3 linked regions of the Daphnia pulex genome follow. The protein of the gene in region 3 purifies or fractionates together with the protein of the main gene of each other region. This does not show direct contact. Links are inferred from orthologs where the notes say so. Each region holds a gene or a part of one and is shown on either strand. Other genes may lie near its edges.

What was found.
Region 1: the proteins of dnaJ homolog subfamily C member 11-like (region 3) and MICOS complex subunit MIC60-like purify together in Homo sapiens (co-immunoprecipitation; 3 studies listed by BioGRID and IntAct, with this or other methods). This does not show direct contact. The link is inferred for Daphnia pulex from reciprocal best matches to the Homo sapiens genes DNAJC11 and IMMT.
Region 2: the proteins of dnaJ homolog subfamily C member 11-like (region 3) and armadillo repeat-containing protein 1-like purify together in Homo sapiens (affinity purification with mass spectrometry; 4 studies listed by BioGRID and IntAct, counting the BioPlex papers as one, with this or other methods). This does not show direct contact. The link is inferred for Daphnia pulex from reciprocal best matches to the Homo sapiens genes DNAJC11 and ARMC1.

What each region holds. Positions count from the first base shown.
Region 1 is NC_060018.1:5,994,745-5,998,860, forward strand, and holds the start of MICOS complex subunit MIC60-like, read left to right. Parts: upstream 1-1,307; 5' UTR 1,308-1,435; coding exon 1,436-1,539; intron 1,540-1,603; coding exon 1,604-1,795; intron 1,796-1,855; coding exon 1,856-1,917; intron 1,918-1,975; coding exon 1,976-2,136; intron 2,137-2,196; coding exon 2,197-2,259; intron 2,260-2,332; coding exon 2,333-2,474; intron 2,475-2,533; coding exon 2,534-2,792; intron 2,793-2,850; coding exon 2,851-2,950; intron 2,951-3,013; coding exon 3,014-3,157; intron 3,158-3,234; coding exon 3,235-3,366; intron 3,367-3,435; coding exon 3,436-3,909; intron 3,910-3,976; coding exon 3,977-4,072; intron 4,073-4,116. Other genes in the region: peptidyl-prolyl cis-trans isomerase NIMA-interacting 4-like, read left to right, coding at 142-169, 309-391, 452-571, 646-804. UniProt on the Homo sapiens protein: Component of the MICOS complex, a large protein complex of the mitochondrial inner membrane that plays crucial roles in the maintenance of crista junctions, inner membrane architecture, and formation of contact sites to the outer membrane.
Region 2 is NC_060021.1:11,826,116-11,829,633, forward strand, and holds armadillo repeat-containing protein 1-like, read left to right. Parts: upstream 1-1,270; 5' UTR 1,271-1,423; intron 1,424-1,538; 5' UTR 1,539-1,555; coding exon 1,556-1,645; intron 1,646-1,704; coding exon 1,705-2,145; intron 2,146-2,209; coding exon 2,210-2,441; coding exon of another isoform or gene 2,442-2,450; intron 2,451-2,502; coding exon 2,503-2,681; 3' UTR 2,682-2,991; downstream 2,992-3,518. Other genes in the region: ral guanine nucleotide dissociation stimulator-like 1, read left to right, coding at 1-174, 265-512.
Region 3 is NC_060019.1:1,093,530-1,097,804, forward strand, and holds dnaJ homolog subfamily C member 11-like, read right to left. Parts: upstream 2,833-4,275; 5' UTR 2,744-2,832; coding exon 2,681-2,743; intron 2,535-2,680; coding exon 2,155-2,534; intron 2,093-2,154; coding exon 1,992-2,092; intron 1,931-1,991; coding exon 1,712-1,930; intron 1,647-1,711; coding exon 1,439-1,646; intron 1,373-1,438; coding exon 1,256-1,372; intron 1,186-1,255; coding exon 994-1,185; intron 930-993; coding exon 698-929; intron 632-697; coding exon 502-631; exon of another isoform or gene 437-501; coding exon 417-436; 3' UTR 338-416; downstream 1-337. Other genes in the region: uncharacterized protein LOC124190903, read left to right, coding at 69-289; von Willebrand factor A domain-containing protein 5A-like, read left to right, coding at 3,340-3,520, 3,587-3,741, 3,814-3,995, 4,069-4,180, 4,256-4,275.

The sequences.
Region 1 (4,116 bases), on a different chromosome or scaffold from region 3:
CTAGTCGACACAGAGCAGACGACACAAAAATTGAAAACGCAGAAAAGCGCGTTTGTAATTGTTCTAAAATCTTGACTCTTGACTTTTGATTTTTTTTTTTCATAAAAAGATTAGAATTTTGAATTGGGAATTATAATAGCTATGCCACCTAAAAAAGCAGCAGCTGCTGGTACATATAGTTTGATTAGTTTCCTTGTGAAATAGTTGTGTTTTTTAAATATTTGTTTACACCTAAAAGGATATGTCAGAATTCAGAAGTTTCTACTACTGTGAAAATAAGCGTTTATAAAGTTTCATTGACTATTTAGGAAAGTCGAAAGGTGCTGGAGGAGGAGGAGGAGATGATGACAAGGGTAAAGACAAAAAAGGAGGAACTGGGAGTACGATTAAGGTAAAATAAGATATATTTCAATAAAATAAGATTATGTTTTTAAATATTATTCTTGCATAGGTTAGACACATTTTGTGTGAAAAGCAATCAAAAATTCTAGAAGCACTTGAAAAGCTTAAAGCTGGTATGAAATTCAATGAAGTTGCTGCAACATACAGTGAGGATAAAGCAAGATCAGGAGTAAGTGTTAATCAATGTGTTAATCAAGTATTATGCTAATTGCTTATTACATTTTTTATTGTATATTAAAATAGGGGGACCTTGGATGGATGGTTAGAGGATCTATGGTTGGCCCTTTTCAAGAAGCTGCCTTTGCTCTACCAATTTCATCATTGGGTAATCCTGTCTACACAGATCCACCTGTTAAAACTAAATTTGGGTACCACATTATAATGGTAGAAGGGAAAAAATAAAAAAAATAAAAACAACATATTGTTACATGAATTAAAATTGCATTTTTCATGGTTTCTTCTAAATTCACTTTTACTATAAGTCAAAAAGCTAATTGAATTTCTTTTATGAATTAAACATTCATAAACATCCAAGATTATCCAAATTGGATCATCCAATGCAGGGTTAAATGTGATAGGCCTACATATCAGATGTAGATCATTCTGACTGGCATCTATATTGATTATACAAATTGTGAACAAATTTAAATAACAAATATGTTGAAATCTTTGGAAAATAGCAAAATATTCTTTCGAATTACATGAACAACATATGCTGGTGGTTGATTTTGCTCTAAATCTAAAATCTTTCACTTTCAAGTTATACAATAAACAAATTAGGAATTTATTTTCTAATGTTAGCCGAGCTCTGGATTAAAAGGAATGAGTTAATTTTCGAAACATTTTCCAAGAAAATTTGGGATTTGGCACAAAATGTGTTCACGTTATCTGATGGATGCTGTTTAACAAGAACTACTACTTGAGTCATATTTGTCGTCTGTTGTCCCTTAATTACTCCGAGACTACAACAGTGGCAGGAATATTTTCTTCCATCATTTGAAGATCCAAGGAAAAGTTAGATCATTTTTCAGGAATGTGGAAGGCACCAGTTAGAATTTGTTCTCAGTCGAAGGTATCATTGCAAAACGGAAGACAAATTATCCGCCGGAACATAAACAGCCGAAAATCAAATCAAATGTAACCGGTGTATTTTTTTCGTAAGTTGTTTTTATACCAGATGCTGTAATAATTTCATTTGTAGATCTGGAAGCAAAATTTTAACCATTGGTGGAGCTGCTATTCTAGCAACTGTTGGTGGTTCTGTTGTCTTAGCCAAAACAAGTGATGGTTTTAGGAAATTTTCTGAAAAAAATATTCCTGGAACCTCATTTCTGTTCAATTTACTACTGGGACCTTCAGTTTCCCATTTACCAAAACTTGAGCATCCTGTCAAGTATAATCAGTTTTGTTTCTAGACTTTTATTGATTATTTATTTAAACTTATTTGCTTCAGAGTAAAGGAAGATGGACTTTTAAAGAAAAAATTGGAACGAGAAGCACTCAAGAAAAAAGATGGTAGATAAACATTTGAATTATTTTCTTGTACATTTGGAGCAATTTTTTTCTCTCCTAGATGAGCTGCCCATCAATCCTGTGGAAGAATCAAGCCCACAAGAGCTACCCATATCCTCAATCGATTTACCACCCCCAGACTTCGATGTCATAAAATCTGTGGAAGAATTTTGTGACAATGATCAATCAAGTGTTGAAGAATCTTTAAATTTAGACCCAGAAGTAAACTGTTTTTTATTTTATTTGCTTATACCTTATGTTTGACTTCCAAATTGCATTCAGGTAAAAACAGATGAAAATATTAAAGTAGTAAATGAATCTGAACCTGATAGTTCAGCTGTAGAGGTGAGAAACTTTCAGATTTGTACATCAAAACTTCAAAAAACAAAAATCTTTAGTTATTTTTCCTATAATTTAGGTTCTCGAAAAAGTTGCAGTTAATTTATCAGAATTAACTCCCGCCGAATTTGGGGACTTGCTTAAGGAATTTCATGCCAAAGCTTCTGACGCTGTTAAAGAAGCTGTTGCAGCCCAAGATATGGCTGCATGCTCCATCAAAAGTAACCGTCTCCTAAATAATCAGACTAACAATTATTTTATATTATTTTATCTTTTGTAGAGCATGTTGAATTGGTCTTCAAGTCACTAGAAAAGATTTACGAGCCTGGTCAAACACATGAAAATATTTGGGAGCCGGTCTTCATGGCGACACACGATAAAAATGAAGCTGTGCATGTTGCCGAGTCTCGAGCTCATGATGCCAGAATGGCCGTAGCTCAGCTGAAAGAAGCTGTAGCTCATGGCTTAAAGAATGACCAAAGTATACAAACACCTGACCTAATTACTTTTGACGAAAGCGTTGCCCGTGCTCTCTATAGGTACGTATTTGTGAATGTTGCTTCAAAACCTCCAGTGGCTATAATGTTTGGTATTTAGTTTGGAAACTGCAAAAGCACGAGTTGAAGCGGCTCAGTCTGAAGCCAAAGTTATGGATGAATATCGTGAACTTGTTGATACTGCTAGGCACAACTTGCAGGTAACAAATTGAATATTTATCAAAAATTTATAACTTCAACGTCTTTGGTTTGCATTATTCAAGATGGAGTTATCTTCCATTCGTCCTGAATTGGCACCCAGTTTTAAAACCGAAGGTTCCAAGTTGGGTGAAGAGGAAATCAATATTTTGATGGCCCATGCCTATTGGAAGATAATAACGTTGCAAAAAGAACTAGCCAGGCAACAGGTTAGTTTAAATGTTTTTTTTTTTTTGTTTTTTGTTTTTTTACAAAAATTTACAGCAATTAAAATTTGTATATCTAGTCTTGTGAGCAGCAGCGCCTGAAAGGAGCTTTAGATACCCAGAGAAAAGAAGACCATTCGGTTCTGGAATCCCGTTTACGAGTCGAATTGGAAAGACAATACTACGAACTAAAAGCGAAATATAATCAAGATGTGAGTTATACCGCCCATTATTGTTTAAACAAATCATTCCATTAATGTGTGTGTCGATTTCTTTAACAGATTTCGTTTCATGAAAAAACCTTGTCGGATCAGTTTACTCAGCAGCTTAAACTCCAAGCTGCTGCTTATACTGATCACTTAAATGACACTCTAAAGACGCAACGTCTAGAACTAAAGCGAACATTTGATGCTGAACGTGAACTAGAAGTCGCAAAGTTGTTGGCGTCCCATCATGAAAACCTGGCGAAGCTTCACGGAATGGGCAAAGGAATTCAAGACGCGATCCATGACCGCGCCGAAAAGGACCGAGTTTCTCGTCAAGTTCGTGAGCTATGGATTGCAGCTCAATCGATGATCGAGTCCCTGCGCAGTAACAATTCAGTCCATTTGCCATGGAATGAGCAACGCCACCCTCTCAATCTGAGTAGTTTGAACAAAGCACTAAACAACAATGATGAATTTGCTCTGGCAGTCATCGAATCCATCCCACCAACCGCTCTAGATCAAGGAATCCTTCCCCAAGGTGCTCTGAAGGTAACGCCCTGAAATATTTTCTTGTTGAAGTATTTTTTACGTTTAAATTTTACTCTTTTTTTTTCAGGAACGTTTCTTGAATGTTGAAAGAGTTTGTCGACGTGTAGCTCTGATTGATGAGAATGGTGGATCGATCCTTCGTTATGCGCTCTCTTATTTGCAGGTTGATTTTTGTTTTTTTGTTTTTTCCTTTCATACAACAACTGT
Region 2 (3,518 bases), on a different chromosome or scaffold from region 3:
TTCGCGTCTCCATCGCCACCCCATCCAAAGAGACGGAGGGCATCAACCTCTACAAGTCCATCATGGTCAGCAATCACGAACGGAGTCCTCAGGTCATCCGCAACGCCATGGTCAAACACGGTCTCGAGGGTAATCCCGAGGATTATACACTGGCTCAGCTCCTACCCAAAGGAGGTAGGTTCTTTTTACGTGTCACTCTAATGCAGATGGATGGATGGATCGGAAATGATTTCATTCCATTTTATTTAATTCCCGAAAACATAGAAATGGTGCTGCCTTCGAACGCCAACGTGTACTACGCCATTAATACCAGTTGCGATTTGAATTTCATCCTGCGGCCCAGAGGCGAATCGATGGCTCATCATCACCACCACCACACTCCTCCTGGATCGTCGGGTTCCGCCTCCGGTCGCTCCACTCCCACTCGCTTGCGCATGAGGGAATGCCACAAAGACTCGTCCGCCAAGGACACGCTGAAAGCACGAAAGAAAATTCTCTCTCTCGGTTTGTAGTAGAATGGAACAAGAAGAAAATAATAATAAGACAAAATCTCATTCTCTACTGTATATTAATATTATTATTATTTTGATGATGATGATGATGGCGGCATGCAGTGATCATTCTTTTATTGGTTCTACTATTCGTCTTCCCTATGACCCCAATTTATTATTTTCTTTTGTTTTACATATGCATGGTATACATCATTCTATTTTCATAATGTGATAACGATGAATCTTTCAAAATAGTGTGCGTTGTTGCAATCAAAATATCTTGATGATTTATGCAATGATGGAATTGTCTCTTGTGTGCGTGTTTGATATATCTATGACTTGAATTGTGCGAGCAATACCTACCAAAAGTGAAGCAGTTTCTTCCGCGAATCTGCGCAATGATCTGGACCAAGAAATTTCAAAAACCTGGGCTCCTTTCTTCTTCTTCTGTTGATTTGTTTTCCATTTTCAGCTACAAATTTGCATCTTCAACGAAATCTAAGCATCTTTTTTACACGTTACTCGACAAATTTTGATTTATGTTTATCTGCAAATCAGCCCCGTGTTCGATTTCAAAGTGTCTTGTGAGATTTTGTTATTCATTTTCCCGCGTCGTCTACAGTGATGTCAATAAATCATTTACCATCTACTACGCACTCGGCTTTTACATTTTTATAGGTCAACGACCAATTATTTTAATACCATTTTTTTTTTACTTCAGAAATGTGTCACTGACCTCAAAATTTCGTGATGCATGACGTGATGATTGTTGTTTTGGAAACTGGTATGGTAACAGTGGGATAAAACAGTTCCGCTTAACAGTATATTTTTACACGTAATGAGGACAGCTGAGCCATCTAGCGGCTAGTTACCTCGGCCTGTACAGGATCCATTTTGAGAAAGGACCCCTTGTTATGATCAACAAACATGAGGTTAGTTTCGTTAATGCTGATTCATTTTCTCGAGATTTGGAAAATAAAAGCATAGAATATAGAATTTTATTGCTTGATGTTGAATTCAATACAAATTTTTGTTTTTATTCCTCAGGATTTAATGACGGCAGAATGGAAGACATAAGTAGTACTGCTCTAGTCACGGTTCAGGCTTATCGTAACATCGCTGAAGATCCCAGCAAACGAGGAACACTAATCCAGGTATTCGCCAAAGTCGTCCAGTAATTTGAATTCCTAAATGTTAATTCTTGTTCTATTAGGATGAAACTAGCATACAATTCCTGGCTTATGTTCTTGGCGAAAAGAATGTAGAAGTAGTCAGTCTAGCCCTAGAAACGCTGAAATTGCTGTCTGACACACAAAGACACCGTCAAAAGTTGGCAGCTGTGTTTGGTGTGCTTGAAGCACTTCAAGCGACAGCTGATGGTGCTGAAGAGTTTGGTGAAGAAATTGCCAACAGTGCTGCCGATATATTTACAGCTCTCAAGTTTTCAAAGAACTCATCTTATGGAAACAAGGTCAAAAGCACAGCTCAGCCAAAAGTGGAAAGGATTCCTTCCACTGAAGAAGCTGTGGATGATGAAGGCTTGTTTGGTGCACTAGATACTAGTTCTCATAGTGACAGAGGTCACCGTTTTCTTAAATACAATTCAAAAGCCAAAACGATTACTGTAAAAGTAACAGGTCTCACTACCAACCAGGTACGCAAATTAGGATGATGCCCATTTCATAGTCAATAAATATTCTTTTGTTTGTTTTCAATAGGAGGATCGTGAACTTTTAGAGCGACAGCTCATTAAAGTTCAGGGAGTTATCTCCATCGTTTTCGATGCCACCAACTCCCGTGTCACCTTACGCTCCCGTCCAGATCTGAATATAGAATCTGTTGGCCAAGCTGTTCGTAAGACACAAACGATGCGTGCTTTCCTAGTTTGCAAGAACGAACTGGGAGAAGAGACGTTGAAAGCAATCGGAGAGGCTTACTCCGAAGACGACGGTACAGACGGTATATACTTTGGTAATGGCATACATAATGATGTATAGTTTCTAACCCAAAGTTTTATCGTCATCAGAGAGGAAATCAAGTACGCCCCTTCCTGATTACCTACCAGAGGATGATCACGACGTACCCACAGAGACTTCCGACAAAGCATTAGCACCTCACGGCATTTCAGAAGTTGCAAGTAATTGGATAAATTCAGCTGCTACATTTTTGCAGCGTTCTTTCTACTGGTGAATTCAGTGATGCGTGATTTGTAAGACTCTTATACACTTTTATAGAAGTAATACTAATGTCTTTCCTTATTGTCTATTCTCCTTCTCTCTCGTATTTTCACTCGCCACTTCTTTCAAAAAACTACAAAACCTCTCATCAGACAAACAATTGTCTTACTACTTTTCAAAAACAACAAAAGTTTTTTTTTTCTTCCTTAGGTGCCCTATTTCATAGGTCGTTTTTTGTGTACTTGTGTGCTTAGTCGAGTTGGCTGTGCGAAAACTCTCACCCTCTGTCCATGATGGGGAAAAAATATAATTTTTCATTTTGATTTTGGTATGATAATGAAAAACCCTCCATTTTACTTTTGGATTCGATTTTAAATTGACGTCCAAATCGTGTGATGTTGGAAAATGAAATGATTCGAACTTTGAATTGATCGGTGGACACTATTTGTGTAACCTTAACCCTCATGAAGTAATCGGCGGAATTACAAAGCTTTTGCCCACGTGTAACAGCACTTAAAAATTTTTTTTTAGTTAAAATTTGAGTGATAGTGTTCTAGTGTTGAATGTTTGAAATATTTCAATTTTGACATTTGATATTTTATTTATCTATTTGGGGGTAAAATAATTCAAATTGGCAACCCTGCGTCCAAACTCGGGAGGAGTGGGAGAAACGATAATTTATTCATATTCAAATTGCCTCGTGCAGTCACAGCAGCAAGAACTCGAAATAGGTGTCTTGAAAAAACGTTTACAAAACTTTTAATAGTGCTTGAACATTTGAACTTGTAATGAACAAAGAGAAAGGTGTCTTCTGTCCTGTGTTTGATTTCTTCACGTCCCCTGGCTGGTA
Region 3 (4,275 bases):
AATAACAGGATTTTCCTTTTAGTCAAATGAGAAATTAAGACTTACACTAGTTTGGGTTTCTATTTCAGGTCCTTTGCCATATGCTATCAATTCAAATGCCTCCAGCAATCAACAGGACATTTCATCTAACAAGCTATATGATGAAATCCCTTTCCAGTTCTCCCCAGCTTACAATTCGATGTGGTTAAATGGTTCCACTGTCAAGCATAAACCTAAAATGCTTAAAGAAATTGACTGGGACTCTCTGTGTTATGATTTTACACTAGAGAAATCTATTTTACAGTCATGAAATATACTTGAATAAACTAAAGTGTGAAATGATGACTCAACACAGTTGTAAGATTAAATCAACACTTGTAATGTCTACTGATAGTCCATCATCATCATTTTAAAATGTTATCTATTGCCTTGTCGTTTCAGAGCTGTTTCCTGTGAGCTGCATAACAGACAGAAATTAATTTGCGTGTAAATTTGTAAAATAACTTGATTGACTAGAATTACACTGCTTGGGTATCCGCAGAGGGTCTGTGTCTTGGATTGTTACTTCATGTGGAACTCCATGGAAGGAATACTGTACATATAAGGACTTGTCTTCTCCCATGCATGGATCATAGAAACCTGGAAGCTGGCACTGTGATGAGACAAAAACATTGTTTAAAAACTTTCTTTTCTGGAATCTATTTTGAAGTACTCTTACCTTAGATGCCTCTTGAAGTATAAGCTTAGAATCCCTGACTAGGCATTGGAGCGGGATGGTAACGTCGGTGATGGCATCGCCGAGATCACGGTGGCTTAGATCTAACCACCGACCGTAAATCGATTTTGTGATAATTAAACCTTTCTTGTTTTCTTCGTCCTCGACATTCCGTCTAAATGTTTCTTTCATTAAATCGATGGATATCTCGGCTTCTCTCCGACGAGCTAGCATTCTATAAGGCAAGAAATTGGTTACTATTGTAAGAAAAGAAGAAAAATCATAAAAGTTCAACTAACTGGGCGTGATGCATAGCTCGATGTCTCTCTATATCTTTGACTTTCTGTTGTTGCATGTAAGGTTCCACGACCAAGCGGCGGACGATGATCCATGCAATCATTGGTGTAACAGTTCCATAAAATATTGGGCTTGGTAGCACTTCATGACACAAATGAATAGGAAAAGCGTAAATTTGGTTCCCTCGAAGTAATCTAGTGAAAATTGAACACACATCAAGTATACAAGCTATCGCTACACATTCGAAAAGGGTGAAATCAATACTTTATCTTTAGTCTTACGCCAGTCGGAACTCCGACTGTCATTGAAACTGCTAGTGAACTATGCTGTGATACTTTACGCTGAAGACCATATTCTAACATAGCTCCAAAGGTTCCGGCTCTGTACATAAAAAAATAAATTTTAAATCATTGATAGAAAAAATGATGCACAAAAATAAATACTGACTTGACAGTTGCTCGTAATCTCCCTTCATGCTTTTCAAGTTTGTGGCAGTAGGACATTGAAATAAACGAGTGCGGGATTCCAAGAACAAAATTTACTTGTGTCCTATATGTTGTAGTCTCTTTTACTATGCTTGTGCTCATCGAGCTAGACTGTGAGTTTTTGTAAGTTAGATAACCGACCGTATTTTTATCTAGCTGATGTGCCAATGCTTAAATTCCAATAACAATCATTACAAAAAGAGCATAAGAATTTTTTAAAGTTATGACAACTTACTTGACACAAAGCCAAAACTCAAGCCTTCGTCAGTGGTAGTTAGGATTCCAGAAATATTTGTAAACATCCGTTTAGTCAGATTGCGGAATCCCTTGGCAGAAAAAGAAAGACCGTTACCGAATCCTAAGTCAACTTCTGCCCATCCATCAGGAGAAGTGATTCTTCTCAATGACACATTTACTGAACCAGAACCTGAACCCTTGTGTGTTGAAAGCTCACCTATGGCCAATAAACACTAATTAAAACCCCATTATCCATGTCAAAAATTATGATAGATTACCAGACAAGTAAGCTGTGTCAGTTAAGGTGAGAGGTGCTTGAATAGACTGAGAAAAGTTCATGCCTTTGACCACAATAGATGGAAAAAAATCACCAGGAGGTCTGTAAATGTAACATATGGTTCAGTGAAGGAGCACATAATAAATAAGTTCTTCTTAGCTTACCCAAATTCATCATCATATGCATCTTCATAAGAACTGAAGAGTTCAGTGGCATCAATGTTGACGGTAATGGAGCTTTGAGGATTGGTCCTCTGGAGGAGCCGGCGCTCTTCTTTTTGCTGAGCAAGGAGCTCATACTCCTCTCTAATTTCTTGTGGAGTTTTTGTCCTTTGTACAATTTCCCATCCTTCAGTTTCAAGCCCTTTGGTTCCCAAGCTGTCATAAATGGCTCGCTTGTGGGGGTCACTCAGAACCTCGTATGCTCTTTTAGTTTTGTTGAATAACACTTCAGCTTCCTTCTTTCTGAGGGGATCTGTATGTTTATCTGGATGATAGATGCGACTCAGCCTTCTGTAAGCATTTGTTATCTCTTCTTGTGGAGCCTAATGATTTAAAAAAATATGTTAAATCTTGTGATAAACAAAATAAGTCATGTGCAAAACACACTGATAACACATGTTTTGATTTTTCGCCTCACAAGCGTCCTTAAATACATCAACGTACATGCTTAAAAAAATGAAAGGCTTACATCTCTTGGTAAATTGAGGAACTGATAAAAGTCTTCTTCCAATCTTTCATTTTCATCATCCATATTGGACGAAAAAAATCGCGAAACTAGTTGTTCAGTTACGAACGTTTACACGAAAACGTGAAGACTGAAGAGCCGGTCCGATTGCGTCGAACATGTCTACCACCTAGCGGTGTTATTTGACACTTTTTAAGTAAACCATACTTTTTGAGGTTTTGTTCGGCAGGTGGCTATATGTTTGTTATTATGACTCACGAACTCCTAAACAAAACAATACGGCCCAAAAGTCTGCAAGTCTTTTTCAGTGGAAAAACCATTTTCGCATTCAGCCATTCAGCCATATGTTATTATTAGTGCTGATTCAAACCGTCATCTGAGGGGCGTGGGCGACACCATACATTAATAAGAGAAGTGACGTGCTTAGTTTGGAAGTTAGTGACATTTCACAGAAAGAACCGTACAGCTACAGTCTGCAGTTGCTGCTTCTAGTATAAGTAAGTAAGTTCTGAGTTCACGTATTACGTAGATGTTAACCTGATATACTCAGTTTAGTACCAACATAATTTCCGAATGTTTTTTTTTAATATTTGACTACACCAAATGAATTGTAAAGAAATTGTTACTTGTTTTCCAGAGTTCTACCATTTTGAAGCTTCAAAATGATATGTTGTGGTTTGATAATTGAACGTGCCGAACGTGAGTCAATTCCGGTTCCTTTGATCGGGGTTTCGGTTCAGGCTCGTATCGTCGATTTGGTTGCCGAGGTCACCATTGAGCAACGATATGTCAACAAGGAAAATCAACCCATTGAAGCAGTTTATCTCTTTCCTCTTGATGAAGGTATTGCAGTTTAAAGTAATATTAACATTTAGTTATAGAAATTAACTGCTGCTTCATGAATCACAGGGGCTGGAGTTTCTATGTTCACTGCCGAAGTAGATGGGCGTGTAATCGAAGGTGTCGTAAAGGAAACGGAACAAGCTAAAGCCGATTATGACGAGGCAATTAAGAGCGGACACTCGGCATTTTTAGTTGAAGAAAAATTGCCGGATGTATTCAAGGTAAACTTAACAGTTGTCATGCAATGGTATTTGTTTTGTTTTTTTCTGATCTTTCAATGACAATTTTCAAAGGCTAAAGTTGGTAATTTGGCACCTGGATCTGGAGCCAAAATCCGCTTGACTTACGTCACAGAATTAAAAGTAGAGGGTAAAGAAATTCGGTTTTACTTACCCACTACTATCGCTCCTCGTTACATTCCTCCAACCGATAAATCCAGCACTGCAGCCGATCTAGCTTCAATCAAATATTCAACGTTAGTAACTATTTCGTCTCTGTGAACATTATAGATAAAATCAACTCAATTTTGTTTTTCCTTTTCAATTAAGGGAATCGAATTATCAAGTGGATTTTAACGCAACTGTGCAAATGGCTTCAGCCATCACAGAAATTCGCTCTCCGACCCACAAAATCGCTGTTACTCGAGACGCTGTCAATAAGGTAAGATCGAGTTGTTGAATTGGACAAATATTTGAATTACATAGATTGTTAATTGTTTCTTTTGAAATCCATTAGCCTAAATATGGAACATTACG